Mytilus edulis: one gene and its partner. The protein of the gene in region 1 interacts with the protein of each later gene in a pairwise test. Links are inferred from orthologs where the notes say so. Each region holds a gene or a part of one and is shown on either strand. Other genes may lie near its edges.

The links.
Region 2: the proteins of elongation factor Tu-like (region 1) and elongation factor Ts, mitochondrial-like interact in a two-hybrid assay, tested with the Drosophila melanogaster proteins (2 studies listed by BioGRID). The link is inferred for Mytilus edulis from reciprocal best matches to the Drosophila melanogaster genes mEFTu2 and mEFTs.

What each region holds. Positions count from the first base shown.
Region 1 is NW_027268536.1:62,274-68,570, reverse strand, and holds elongation factor Tu-like, read left to right. Parts: upstream 1-4,156; 5' UTR 4,157-4,194; coding exon 4,195-5,610; 3' UTR 5,611-5,656; downstream 5,657-6,297.
Region 2 is NC_092357.1:70,779,439-70,786,803, forward strand, and holds the start of elongation factor Ts, mitochondrial-like, read right to left. Parts: upstream 3,015-7,365; 5' UTR 2,928-3,014; intron 1,312-2,927; 5' UTR 1,305-1,311; coding exon 1,152-1,304; intron 278-1,151; coding exon 149-277; intron 1-148. UniProt on the Drosophila melanogaster protein: Associates with the EF-Tu.GDP complex and induces the exchange of GDP to GTP. It remains bound to the aminoacyl-tRNA.EF-Tu.GTP complex up to the GTP hydrolysis stage on the ribosome.

The DNA of each region.
Region 1 (6,297 bases):
ATAAAATCCGTGATTTCACTGTTAAACGTGTTGTTGTTCTCGGATTGTACAGTAAAATCAAGCCTAACCGGGTAACTTTTACTGTTTACACTATTTGTATCGTTTATCAAATTCACGTTTTGAACGCAATGATCTGTAGTATCGTTGAACGGAAGAAGCGAGTGTTCAGATGTAATTTCGTCAAACATAGCTAATGTTTTTCCTTTATACAAGTCAATACTACAACTGTTTGGATTTAATATTTTAATTGGAATAAGTCTACCTTTTGACACAGAAACGACTCCTTTAGAAATAACCAATCCTCTAGATACAATATATTTACTAGACGTACAAATTCCTTGTTTTCCATAATAAATATTTGACGGAACTTTTCCCCATATAATTGTCTCTGTATGTGGTAAAATCGTTGTCCTTTTTGTACAATATACATTTGATGTTTTTGGAACAGCGGACATTTCACTAAAATCAATCACCATTTTATTCGCAATTAAATAGTTTGTTCCCAAAATAATAGGATGTGATGGCATTTTCAAAATATAAGTAAAAACACGATGATTGGCTCTTGAAATATTCATTTGTACGTAAGCCGTACCAACAACTTCAATCTTTTGACTGTTAGCTAAAACAATGGACTCACGAACATCTGCATTAAAATCTGACTTCTTACTATACGGCAACGAATCATAAAGTTGTTCTGAAATAATGTTCACTGAACTTCCTGTATCAATCAATGCAGAAACTTTCAAAGAATCAAAACGAACAGTTAAATATAAAAATGTAGAGTCCGAAGAAATGAAGGAATCAGTACCAGAATCATTTTCGGATGACGTAATTACATCATTTTCACCAGTATACAATGTCATATTCTCAACACAAAAATCTTTATTTACATTCATACATTTATTTACACGAGATCTAGATCTACTCCGAATTCTTGAAGCACTTATGGACGGTCTCCTAGGGGAGCGTGCTGTGTGGCCCCCAGGAGGAAAGAGTTTCCCTTCTGAAGTTGACCGCATTCTTTTGCCGAATGTCCCGTCTGTCTGCATATTTGGCATTGCATGTTAGTGTCATTGTGTTGAACTGTTTGTCCGAAAATAAAACACTGCAAAGCAACATGTCCATTTTGAGAGCATAATTGGCATATGTTTTGAGGAGAGAGATTTCCCGTACCGTTCCAATTACAATTTCTTTTGAAGTGTCCTGTTGCATTACATTTATAGCAGGGCAAATTTCGACGTGGTGCGCTTGGATATGTGTTGTGAGAAAAATTATTGTTGCCCATAGGTGGTTTTACATTGTAGTCTGTTTGTTTTTGTGTTTTCATATCATTCATGAGATCGGTCAGCTGATTCATTTGAGATCTTAAACTCGAAATTTCGGATTGGCTTGTTGAAATATTTCGTGCGGCGGCAACTGTATTTTCACATTCCCTGTATTTATACGCCTCGCCTGTTTTCGCTAGTGTTAATGCGTCTGATGCATCTTTTGGTTTACTTGCGCGGACATAAAATGCAAGTTTGTCAGGCAACCCATCAACAAATTTTGACATGACTTCGTGTTCAGGTTTGGAAAGCAAGTCCGCTTTTTCTACGAGCTGACAATAAAAATCTTCAATCTCTTGTCCAGGGTTTAATTTCAAACTATTGAATAACTGATTTTCAATAACGACGGATGGATTTTCCCAGTTGAATTTAACATATTTAGCGTTAAAAAGTTCTTTAATTGTTTGCCAGTCTAAACCAGAAGTTAGTCCGTTGTACCATGTTAGCGCGGGGCCCTGAAGATGGAGGTGAAATGCTGCTAGAATTTTGGCATCATCAAGCTCATGGAGAGTGGCAAAGGATTCAAATTCTTTTATAAATTTTGAGCCATTGTCTTTGGGGTATCCGGAAAACTTTTTACAGGAGGCTAATTTGTCCATAATGTTTTTCTTTGGTGGTTTGCTTTTATTGGGTTGATCGTTCAAAGAATTAGGTAAATCATTGAAGGCAGGTATATTTGCGGAATCATGGTTTATCGATGTTGTAAGGTATGTGTTTACAAAAGTATTGTCTAGAATTGTTATATCTCGATACGAAGGGTTTATGTACAAGTCTTCCTCACTGTCACTGTACCTTACTTTATCATCATCCCAATCGTAATACATCGAAATTATAATAATCAGTTCAAAGTCTACCAATGATTTTCCATAGGCTATGTACGCAAGAAAATGCAATACTTCCACGTGTCCGACCGCATGGCCGCCTTCCCACTGGGGTTAATTTCACAGGATCGTGCTTAAATAGATGTTGTTTTGTTATAAGTAATGTGTTTGAATGTTCTTACTAACAACCGGGTTCCTCCACCATTTTATGTTGCAATCTGGCATAAATAATATAACTATTTCAAGATAATAATGTTCTATTTTTCCAAAACACATCTACATGGTATCATAACAATAAATCAAGAGAACAACATAAACTAACATATCATACAAATACGGAATGCAATCCGCATGAATACACCAAAGACTGGTTAAGGAGAGATAACTCTCATAAAAGTATGTTAACTTTACCAAACGACTTGCCATACCAAACTGACATATAACATTATGTGTAGTTCCTGTTTGGAGTGGCAAAAGTTATCTTGTGCTAGATTAAAACAACTTCTAAAGGCAAAGAATTGGTTTTGTAACAATTGCAAATGTTAAATCCTTTTGAAATTCGTAGCAAACAACTTTTTATATTGTCTTTTTTATGATGTGCGTAGTTTTACATAACACCATTGTTATCGTATGGCAGGATATTTAAACCATAGATTTTACACAGATTTGAACATCTACTTTTTAGCTCACCTGACCTGAAAGGTCAAGTGAGCTTTCAGTCTCATCACTTTGCGTCTGTCGTCCGTCTACTGGGCCAAATTTACCAGAACTTTGCCACAATCATCATTATGGTATCTAGAATTTAAATTTAAAAAAATGTGTCAACCAACCAAGATGGCAGCCATGGCTTAAAATAGTTCATAGGGGTAAAATGTAGATTTAGCTTATATCTCTGAAACCAAAGAGTTAAGAGCAAATCTGACGTGGGGTAAAATTGTTTATCAGGTCAAGATCTATCTGCTATATACCTTCACTGCGAAATGGTGCAACTCCCTTGCTTTCTGTTTTCTGATGTTTGATGCATGTCCAGAAACGTTTCATACTACTAATTGGTTGTTTTCCTCCTTAGGTGTTACGATGTTCTCATTGTAGTTCCAATATGAACGACAGAGCTCTCTTTGTACCATTCGATTTGTTTCTTTAAGTTTGGATGTTATTGCAAGATCAGCTGACGTTTTATGTTTTTTGTACAATCTGTCACGGCGTTTTATTAGTTTGCGTACTGATGGTGTGAGCCAAGGCAGGCTGTCTTTTTGTTTTTCGGTTTTGTGCGGGATGTGATTTGCCACACGTACTCTGGTTTAAGTTAATCTTAAAGACTAACCAGAGCTCCTCGGTTGAACTGCAGTTTGCAGCTGGTTCTTTGATCTTTCGATGGTGTTTTCATGCTTTTAATTAATATTATTAAGTTATAAAGCTATAAATTATTTATTTATATGAACATCTTCAATATTTTATTTTTGATTGTACTGTATTTGAATGCTTGATATTGTGATAAAATGATTTTAAATTATTATTAAGCTTTTTTATTCTCTACTAACATGACTAGTCACACCAATGAACAATTTTATTCAGTGCCAGCTAAATAGAAAATTTGCTATTTTGCCGGTGCCGGTCAAATAGCAAATTTGCTATTTAGCCGGTGCCGATCAAATAGCCACTGCCTAAAAATTAAGTACATGGGAAATTGCAAAGTTTACGAAGTCTAGTCTGATTAATCATTTTACAAAAAAAAAAGAATACCTCTACGCCCCCTCTGATTCCGCCACTGCCATGGAAATCTGAAGTATACCCAAATATTTTTCAACGCCCTCTTAATTTCCTCCCACCCCTTTCAGATTATAAATGACCTGTCACTTACGAAACTTCTCATTCTTAATTATAACAAAAGCACCGAAAATCGTTAGTTCAGAGCATTTAATATATATCGGACGACATCATATCTATATTGATGGTTGCCCTCATTACAGGAGTCAATTCATAGAAGAATTACAACACAAATTATTTTCGTTTCATCCCCAGTCCGCATAAACTCCAAAAATACAACCATGTCGAACGTAGTTCGCCGAGCATTTCTTTACAGTATTCGTACATTATATAAACAATCACTAATTAATTTTACGTCAAATTACCCGAGAAATCTTCTAACCACCAGGAATTATACGAAAAAAAATGACGAAGCTGAAACTCCAGGGAAACCGCATTGTAATGTTGGTACAATAGGTCACATTGACCATGGCAAGACAACATTAACAGCAGCTATTACAAAAGTTTTGTCCGATTACGGTAAAGCAAAATTTGTGCAGTTTGAGGATATTGACAAAGCAGAGTTAGAAAGAAAACGTGGTATAACAATAAATACATGTCATGTTGGTTATGAAACCGACCTTCGTCATTATGCACACACTGATTGTCCGGGTCACATTGATTACATTAAGAACATGATTAATGGCACCTCTCAAATGGACGGGGCAATACTTGTCGTTGCTGCATCAGAAGGCACAATGCCACAAACTAGAGAGCATGTGTTATTAGCAAAACAGATAGGAATAAATAAATTAGTAGTTTTCTTGAACAAAATTGACTTGGTTGATGATGAACTTGCAGAGCTCGTTGAACTTGAGGTTAGGGAATTACTTGAAGAATATGGATATGATTCAGAAAATACTCCAGTTGTCAGGGGTTCAGCATTGAAAGCTTTGAAAGGGGATAAATCTGGACATGATTCTATATTAAAACTGATGGAAGCTGTAGATAAATACATTGATATTCCATTTCGTGATTTATCAAAACCATTTATTTTACCAGTTGAACATGTGTTTTCAGCCAGAGGAAGAGGAACAGTAGCAGTTGGGACACTCAGAGATGGAATTATAAAGAAAGGACAGCAAGCTCAAATACTTGGAGAAGGAGTAACACATAAAACAGCGGTATCTGATATTGAAGTTTTCAAAAAATCTGTAACAGAATGCCAAGCGGGAGATAATGTTGGTGTTCTCATGAGAGGTATCAAAAGTAATATTGTAACAAGAGGAATGTTTTTATGTGAACCAAATGCATTTTCTCAGCATGATGCTTTTGAGGCAAAAATTTATGTGCTAACACGTGCTGAAGGAGGACGGACAAAACCGATCACTGACAAGTACATGCAGTTACTGTATACCAATTATTTTACAGTACAATCTTGCATATTAGTACCAGAGGAGACAAAAATGATTATGCCTGGTGAAGTTGTAAATATAACAATGTTGGCTAGAAAGTCCATGGTTTTTGAAGTTGGGACAAGATTTACAGTAAGAGAGCTACAAAGGACAACTGTGACAGGGGTAGTTACAAAGTTGCTGCCAAGAACTGATATAGAAATTATTGGTTTCAATAAGCAAAATATGAAAACAACTTATGTAATTGAAAGTGGAAACCAAACTGTTAGATCGAAACGATTAGCTAGAAAATCAAAGAATTAGTTTTACAAATGTAGTTCAGTTATTAAATGTTTTATCATGCCTATAATTATTGAATCATTGTTTTGAGAAATAAAATTTTGGGTTAATATAAAAGGAGATGTAGCAATGTGTGGTATTATTGCCAAAGAGATATTTATACACCAGAGTTCAAAGCAATTATTGGCAACCAAACTCATTACTGCCTTCAGCAATGAGAAAAACCCATACTATAAAGACATATAAACATGATAAAAGCACATGAAAATTGTGACACAATTCAAACCTTAAAACTAAGGGCCTAATTATATACATTTTTTTAATCTATAACAAAACAATTTTCTAAAAACAAATAGGACAGACATTAACCAACAACAACCAACGAACTACATGCTTCTGACTTGGGACTGTGAGGCACATGATATAAACCTGAATAATGTGGTGGTATTTAACATGTTTGTGAGTGCTTCAACCCGGCCCTCTTACCTCAGACTTTGGTGTAATATAATACAACAAATACCTTTTATCACACTTTTTCATTTATGTTATCAATAAAGTGATATGAACTACATTTTGTACATGTACATGATGTATGTATATCATAACATGTAATGGTATACTGGAAATTTTTTCCTTGCATTTACAAGTTTTTGAATTTGTGAAAACCTATTCTGTCACTATTTTTGCAATAATCTTGATACAACATGCAAC
Region 2 (7,365 bases), on another chromosome or scaffold:
CCTGCTGGATTGAAGACCCATTGGTGGCCTTCCACTGTTGTCTGTTGTCTGTTCTTTGGACAGGTTGTTGTCTCTATTTGACACATCCCCCTTTCCCATTCTCAATTTTATATCTACAGAGACAGTGAGCTGAGGGTGGACATCTTACCTCTACCATAGTCACATGACTTTTATCATAAATTAAACCAACAAGTCCCTGAGCCATTTTCCTGTTCTGTAACTTTGTTGCTTTTGCCCATCCTTCTTTCTTTGCCTCTTCTTGTAACCATTTCTCTGCCTGTTAAATATCAACATATTCATGTTTATTTATACCAGATTTGTAATAGAGGAAAAAATATGAAGAAAGGGAATTTTATTTGTTTTACTTGATACTCAGAGTCAGAACCCTTTTCTCTTTTAATGATTTTGACATTCATGACATTTGTCCAAAACATTACTAATACATGTACAATATGATGTATAAACCTCTGACAAACAATGAAATATAAAAGTTTGATCAAAATTTGACAAATTGCAAGAACATAATTACAATATGATTATTATTTACAAACAGTATATATTTTAATAATATAAACTCTCATTTGAATGGCAATGATTTCTAAACTTGGCCTAGACATTCCAGATATAAACCTCTGGTATAACATAAGTAATTGTTATAAGTTTGATTAACATTTAAAAAGAACAGGATGGACATTAGATGTGTGCAGAGATGCATAGACATGATAGAGGGATTGGCACTCCCATTTTTCTCTTTTTTCCCCACAACCTGTGATGCATTCAGAGTACCATTAATCCTGTTAATAATATTAATATTTTATATTACTGTGAATTCAGAAATTATTGCGAGGTTTTTATTATTGCAAAAAATGCGACAGAGTTGTAAACGCATTAATTTAAACTCGCATTTTGAAATATTTTATATGAATTAAACAAGATTTTTCTCAAAATCGTTAAAATTAAAATTGCATTTAAGTCTCAAATCACAAAATCGCAGTAATAAATGCACGCAATAATTTCTGAATTTACAGTATATACATGATCATGATGATATATGTAAAGTTACACATACATTGTAGCAAGGAAAATCTCAAGTCTGTGTCCACATGTTAAAGACCCAATGTACCATTTAAATACAAACTGGACAAAATTACCTGTTCAACATTATTATCAAACTTCACTAAAGCTTTCTTGCAGTTAATGAAAGCAATTCCTGTCTTTTTCCTTAATTTACTGAGGGCAGCTTTATCTACTTGTGTACTGTAACATCTCATTAATCCTGTCCATCTGATAGCATGCTTTAACATTCTGTAACTATAAATATAAAGTATTAAAGCTTTATCAACCTGAGTACTATAAATCTCATTAATCCTGTCCATCTGATAGCATGCTTCAACATTCTGTAACTATATAAATATAAAGACTTTCTCAACATGTGCATGATGTGTCACATCTTATTAATTCACTCCACCTATAGCTATTCACAGCATTCTTACTGGTGTTTCACAAAGTAAAGAATAAGCCTAATTCTCATATACCATGTATACTGTAAATTCAGAAATTATTGTGATGTTTTTATTATTGCAAAAAATGGGACAGCATTATCATCGCAATAATTAAAACTTGCATTTTGATTTTTTTTTCTTTGAATCAATTAGGATTTTTCTAAATATCACAAAAATAAAAATCTTATTTTAGTCTAAAAGGACAAAATCTCAATAATAATTGCCCGCAATAATTTCTGAATTTACAGTATCAATTATTCATTATTTTTTGGGGTGTAGGATCTATTTAGAATGAAACAACTTGGGACAGAATGACTTTGGCCTATTACGAATGATTTGGATAATAGAAAAAGGTGTGTAATAAACCATTTTGTAGATAATTTAATGAAGGTTTAGTACATAACAATTTTCAATGGGACATGTGCATCATGTGCATGGGATAGATAACCACAAAAGTCAAAATGAAAATGTTCTTGTTATTATAGTATACATGGTATACGGTTAAGTTCGCCACCAGTACTTGTGATGTGTGAGTCTTGTGTACCCTATATGTGCTTATCACGGTCATCTAGTCCAAATAATTATGACGTCTTGAAAGGCTATTTAATTTGTAGACAAATTCGTAAGACGTTGAAGCTAAAAACTAAATTTACCTTTCAAGACGTCATAATTATTTGGACTATGCAGTAACTAACAACTTATTGGGTTATTTGCATGTTGATACTGTAAAATATCAGCTGTGAGTCACAGTATGAAGCTTCAGGTCAAACTTATCCATGTCTGCTCAAACATTTTGAAGTCGCAGATATGATGTCCAGTTCAAATTTATTAAGGCCAGGTCAATATATTAAACGTTACAAAGCCTTGATATGCAATTTATTAAGAGCTGAGCAGATTGAACAGAGGGACTACATATAATCATGCTTATCGCCAAATTCCCTTATATATCGTCATGCATGTTTAGTTTAATCTAGTCCAAATAATTATGAACTAATCATGGTCATGTAAGGCTATTTTAATTTATTCTGTGATGACTTCCAACTTAATTTCAATAGCCTTTCAAGACTCTAATGTATGTAATGGTAAATTCCTTCGATATCCAAAACCCCTAGAGAGCTGCCAAGGTACGGTGGAATCCATTTACACTCCCTATCGGGATTAATGCAGATGTGTCACTAACGTATTTACAATGTTTAACATTTACAAGGACAATCCCCAACCCAACACCAGTGTGTTTTAGTACACCGGGTAGTAAACTTGTAAATACAACATAACAAATCATGAAATACTGAAAATAGGAAAAACTGTTAATTTGGGAACTCGTTTGGTGACAAAAACATCACAAATCATAATATAGGACAATGATTTGAGAATGCATATTTTCGTTTTGATCAGATACAGAGCAGGTTACATAAATTTCACAACCTTGAGAGAACGTGCAACTATTGGGGACGTTAGTGATGAGGGGATGAGATGAGTATTCTATTGCAAGTTATTTGAAAGTACTAAAAGGTATGCTACAGCTCCGAACCCACATTATATTATCCACGCTTTTCATACTCGCTATAAACGCACATCTTGTCAATTCCATGGGTTTAGCATGACGATTGTGTTGAAAATTGCTTAGAAGTAAAATCTAGACATGTAAGATCAGCATATCTTTATCATTTTATAATGAAGATGTTTTGCTTTAATTTAATATATGCAACCAAGGATGGATTTGTATAGTATATTTACTATACAAATCCTTGATGCAACCTAATTTTTGTTTTTGTTCTTTTCTTAATTGTTCATGAACATTAACAATGTGTTAACTGTTGATATTTATAGCCTTTTTCTTCTTCGCTGTGAATACCACTGTCACTCTAATATAATTATAATCAATTTAACTATTGTCAGTTTATTGTCTTAATTTTGTATGCCATAACTATTTAATGTAAATGTGTTTGTGCGAATAAAATATTGACTATTGTCTATTGTCTATTTAATTTATAGAATCCAGTCAGCAAGGTTCAAAATATTAAAGGGAAATTCCGCGATTTTTTACTTATCATTTAATTATGTTCATCTTAACATAAAAAAACACATTTGCAAAGTTTTAAATTTATATTCCTTCTAATAACGGAGAAAATCAAGTATTTGTAACTTTTTTGGTTGAATTCTCGAGTGGGTCGTGACGTATTAGCCCGATTTATTGAATTCTGGGAAAAAATAAAATCTGTTTAACTCTTATAGCTTATCGACAATATACGTAATTAAAAGCGCACAGCTGACGAATGGTCGAAGTTGTAAACCACAATATAAGAATGAACGAAAGTGAATATGCATATATATACCGTTTTGTATTGATTGAATTAAACTCCTATAAAATTATCTCTAGTAAATGTTTTTGAATAAATTTAATTAATTATTGTTGAGATTTTTTTCATAAAATATTTATTGAACATTTTTACTGATATTGAACTAAAAATATTTCAGTTCTATTTACCGTTATTGTTTTGATAATCATTTCAATGCAACTAATGTGTGAGCAGAGTGTGTATATTATTTTGTAAAGGTCACTGTATATGTCTCGGCTTGAGGTCAATTCGTTTACCTTGTAGCTATTTAGCCGCAGGTGTGAGTTCAAGCGTACACAGGTATAAATGTTGTTATTTGGAAAGGATAAATACACGGCCGACACTCGGCTAACCGAGAGATTGGTCAGTTAATCTATATTGAGTATGCGGCTATATCGGCAGTGGGTCTGTTAATCGGGTTGGCTAAAGGCTGTTAATCAGGTATTATCGAGAAAATCATTGAAAACTCAGAATGTTTCATTGTATAACCTTTTAAATATATGTTTATCATAAAAAATATTTATGTCTGACAAAACTATTCAATGTACTGAATCCATAGGTGTAATTATTATTTTTCTAGCTTCTATGTACGATCTATAAAATGAAAAGGCAAATTACTCATCAGTAAATTTATACACATTTTACACACACAAAATGTACACAAAATGACACTTGGGTTGAATTTACTTGCATGCACTATTTTGAACATCGAAAAAAGACAGGCATTATGAGTGTTAACCAAATTGATATCATTTTGTGAAAACTCTACACGAAAATCTGTATTTTGGTGACATAAATCAATCTTTATTAAAAACCTGGTCTGTTAATGGGTCGGATGTATAAAACCCGGTCTGTTAATTAGTCTGTTAAGAGTTATGAATGACAATAAAAGTATAATTTTATTACTTTATGGTGTGTTCATTTGGTAGGCTCAAGACGAGCGGCTAAAATATACGGAAACAACACTTGAGCAATGGAACATAAAATATATACGGAAACAAAACATGAGCAATGGAATATAAAATATACGGAACAAAACACATGAACAATAACAATGTAGGCAATGGATATTGAAAATTGATAAAAATGGTTTCAAAAAGTGTTAAATTAAAGTAAAATTGATTTTATCCGAGAATGGTCGCATATATCATGTGGATTCTGTTTAATTGTCATTAATGACACCAATGTGTCATCTACATTGGTAACCAGTATATAAATCAGAGATTAACGTCGTAATGTAACTAAACATCAGTATATTGGGATGCCTAAATATAAAGAATAGAGAAGAATAATGGGTAAGATAAATAAAATGTAGAGAAAAGTAACATAACCATTTAAAGAATACAGAAATAAACAACACCCCCCAATCCGTACCCTCATGGTATACACGAGAATCTGGATGGAGATACAGAATACAAAATAAAAGATAAGGACAGTAGAGAGTGATGCATTGCTAAAAAAGAGAAGAAAACAAATTGTTTAAGAATAAAGACATGAAACCCCCTGGGTGTTGAAACAGTAACGGATTGCGATGTACTCATATTGGTGACAAATGCTTGACGTTTACATGTGGACACCTGCAGTTCTCCTCTGCACATATGTAGAAAAGGAACTAAACGGAATAAAATGAATTAAATTTTAATACAACCAAATGTAGCTGCATTCGCTCCTTTCCATTTATTTCTTTAGAATGATTTGTAAACAACAGATGATTAAGTAATACAAGAAAGAAAAACAATTGGATGATGCTGAGGAATTAGGATTAAGGTGGTACCGAACACTTTTACTAAAATCAATGTGGTTCGTTTAATTTGAATAAAATTTTGACAAAGTATTTAATTTGAACCTTTAACAGAAATATAAAAATTTCAAAAAATTTGAACCAACCGTTTTGTCAGAAAAATTTAAAACTGGTTATATAGCAGTTTGACAAACACCAATTTTGATCTTCGAGAAGCTTATTATTCCCTTTACAACACAACGTAATAAAACGTATCACTGACTTTACAGAGTTATCTCCCTGTAATGTTGGGTACCACCTAAACGTCCAGTGACAAATGTCATGTGCATATGAAAACGACAACACGTTATATATGTACCCTGTGTTGTATTAGGAAGACACGTTCAATCGGATTTGAGAACATGCTACTTTGAGCAGACACAAAAATTAAGGCTGATTGAAATCGTTAATAATAAATTCATGCATATTCCAGCGACCAACCCAGATCACGCTATATTGAAGTGACATACTCTTGAGTAAAATGAAAAGAAAGTCAAAATAAAAATGCTTTTACTGGAAGGATAGTGTTGCATCGTATTATTATTTTTTGTCGAGCCTTCGACTTTAGTCGAAAAAGCGAGACTAAGCGATCCTACATTCCGTCGTCGTCGGTGTGTCGTCGTCGGCGGCGTCCACAAATATTCACTCTGTGGTTAAAGTTTTTGAAATTTTAATAACTTTCTTGAACTATACTGGATTTCTAACAACCTTGGACAGAAGCTTGTTTATGATCATATTAAGATAGTATCCAGAAGTAAATTTTGTAAAAATAAAATTCCATTTTTTCCGTATTTTACTTATAAATCATGGACTTAGTTTGTTCTGCGTGGAAACATTACATTCACTCTGTGGTTAAAGTTTTTAAAGTTTTAATAACTTTCTTAAACTATCCTTAGTTTGTACCAAACATGGACAGAAGTTTGTTTATGATCATAAGATAGTATCGAGAAGTAAATCCATTTTTTTCCGTATTTTACTTTTGAATGGAATTAGTTTTTCTGCGGGGAAACATTACATTCACTCTGTGGTTAAAGTTTTTAAAAAATTATTAACTTTCTTAAACTATCCTGGGTTTGTACCAAACTTGGACAGAAGCTTATTTATGATCATAAGATAGTATCCAGAAGTAAATATTGTAAAAAGATAACTCCATTTATTCTGTATTTTACTTTTAAATGGACTTAGATTTTCTTCCAGTTAACATTACATACAGTCTGCAGTTAAAGTTTTCAAAACATTTATTAGATTCATTCACTATCCTAAATTTTTACTAAACTTGGACAGAAGCTTCTTACAATCATAAGATAGTATCAAGAGGAATATTTTTTATTGTTTTTTTCCCTCATTTTTGTTGAGCCTGCGATTTACAGCAAAAGTAGGCGAGACACTGGGTTCCGCGGAACCCTTACAATATTTTTTTTTACTCAAGAACATCTCATTTTAAACATTTTCAATGGGAAAATATAAAGGTAGCACAACTATTTTCGTGGCTAAATAACTCTTAACTGACACAATTTCAATTGTCCAACCCATTAACAGACTTTATTCACATAATATTCACTAAAACGTGGTATTACTCACGTTATATTACAATTATGAAATATTTACTAATGTCAATTTATATTTAAGAACCAAAGTAGTATTTTGTGTCTTTTAATTGATATCTAAAATTGTTTGTTTCGCCTTTTATTAAAAAATTGCTATGCATGTAATCATAAATACTACATACTTGCGCGACGCCTTT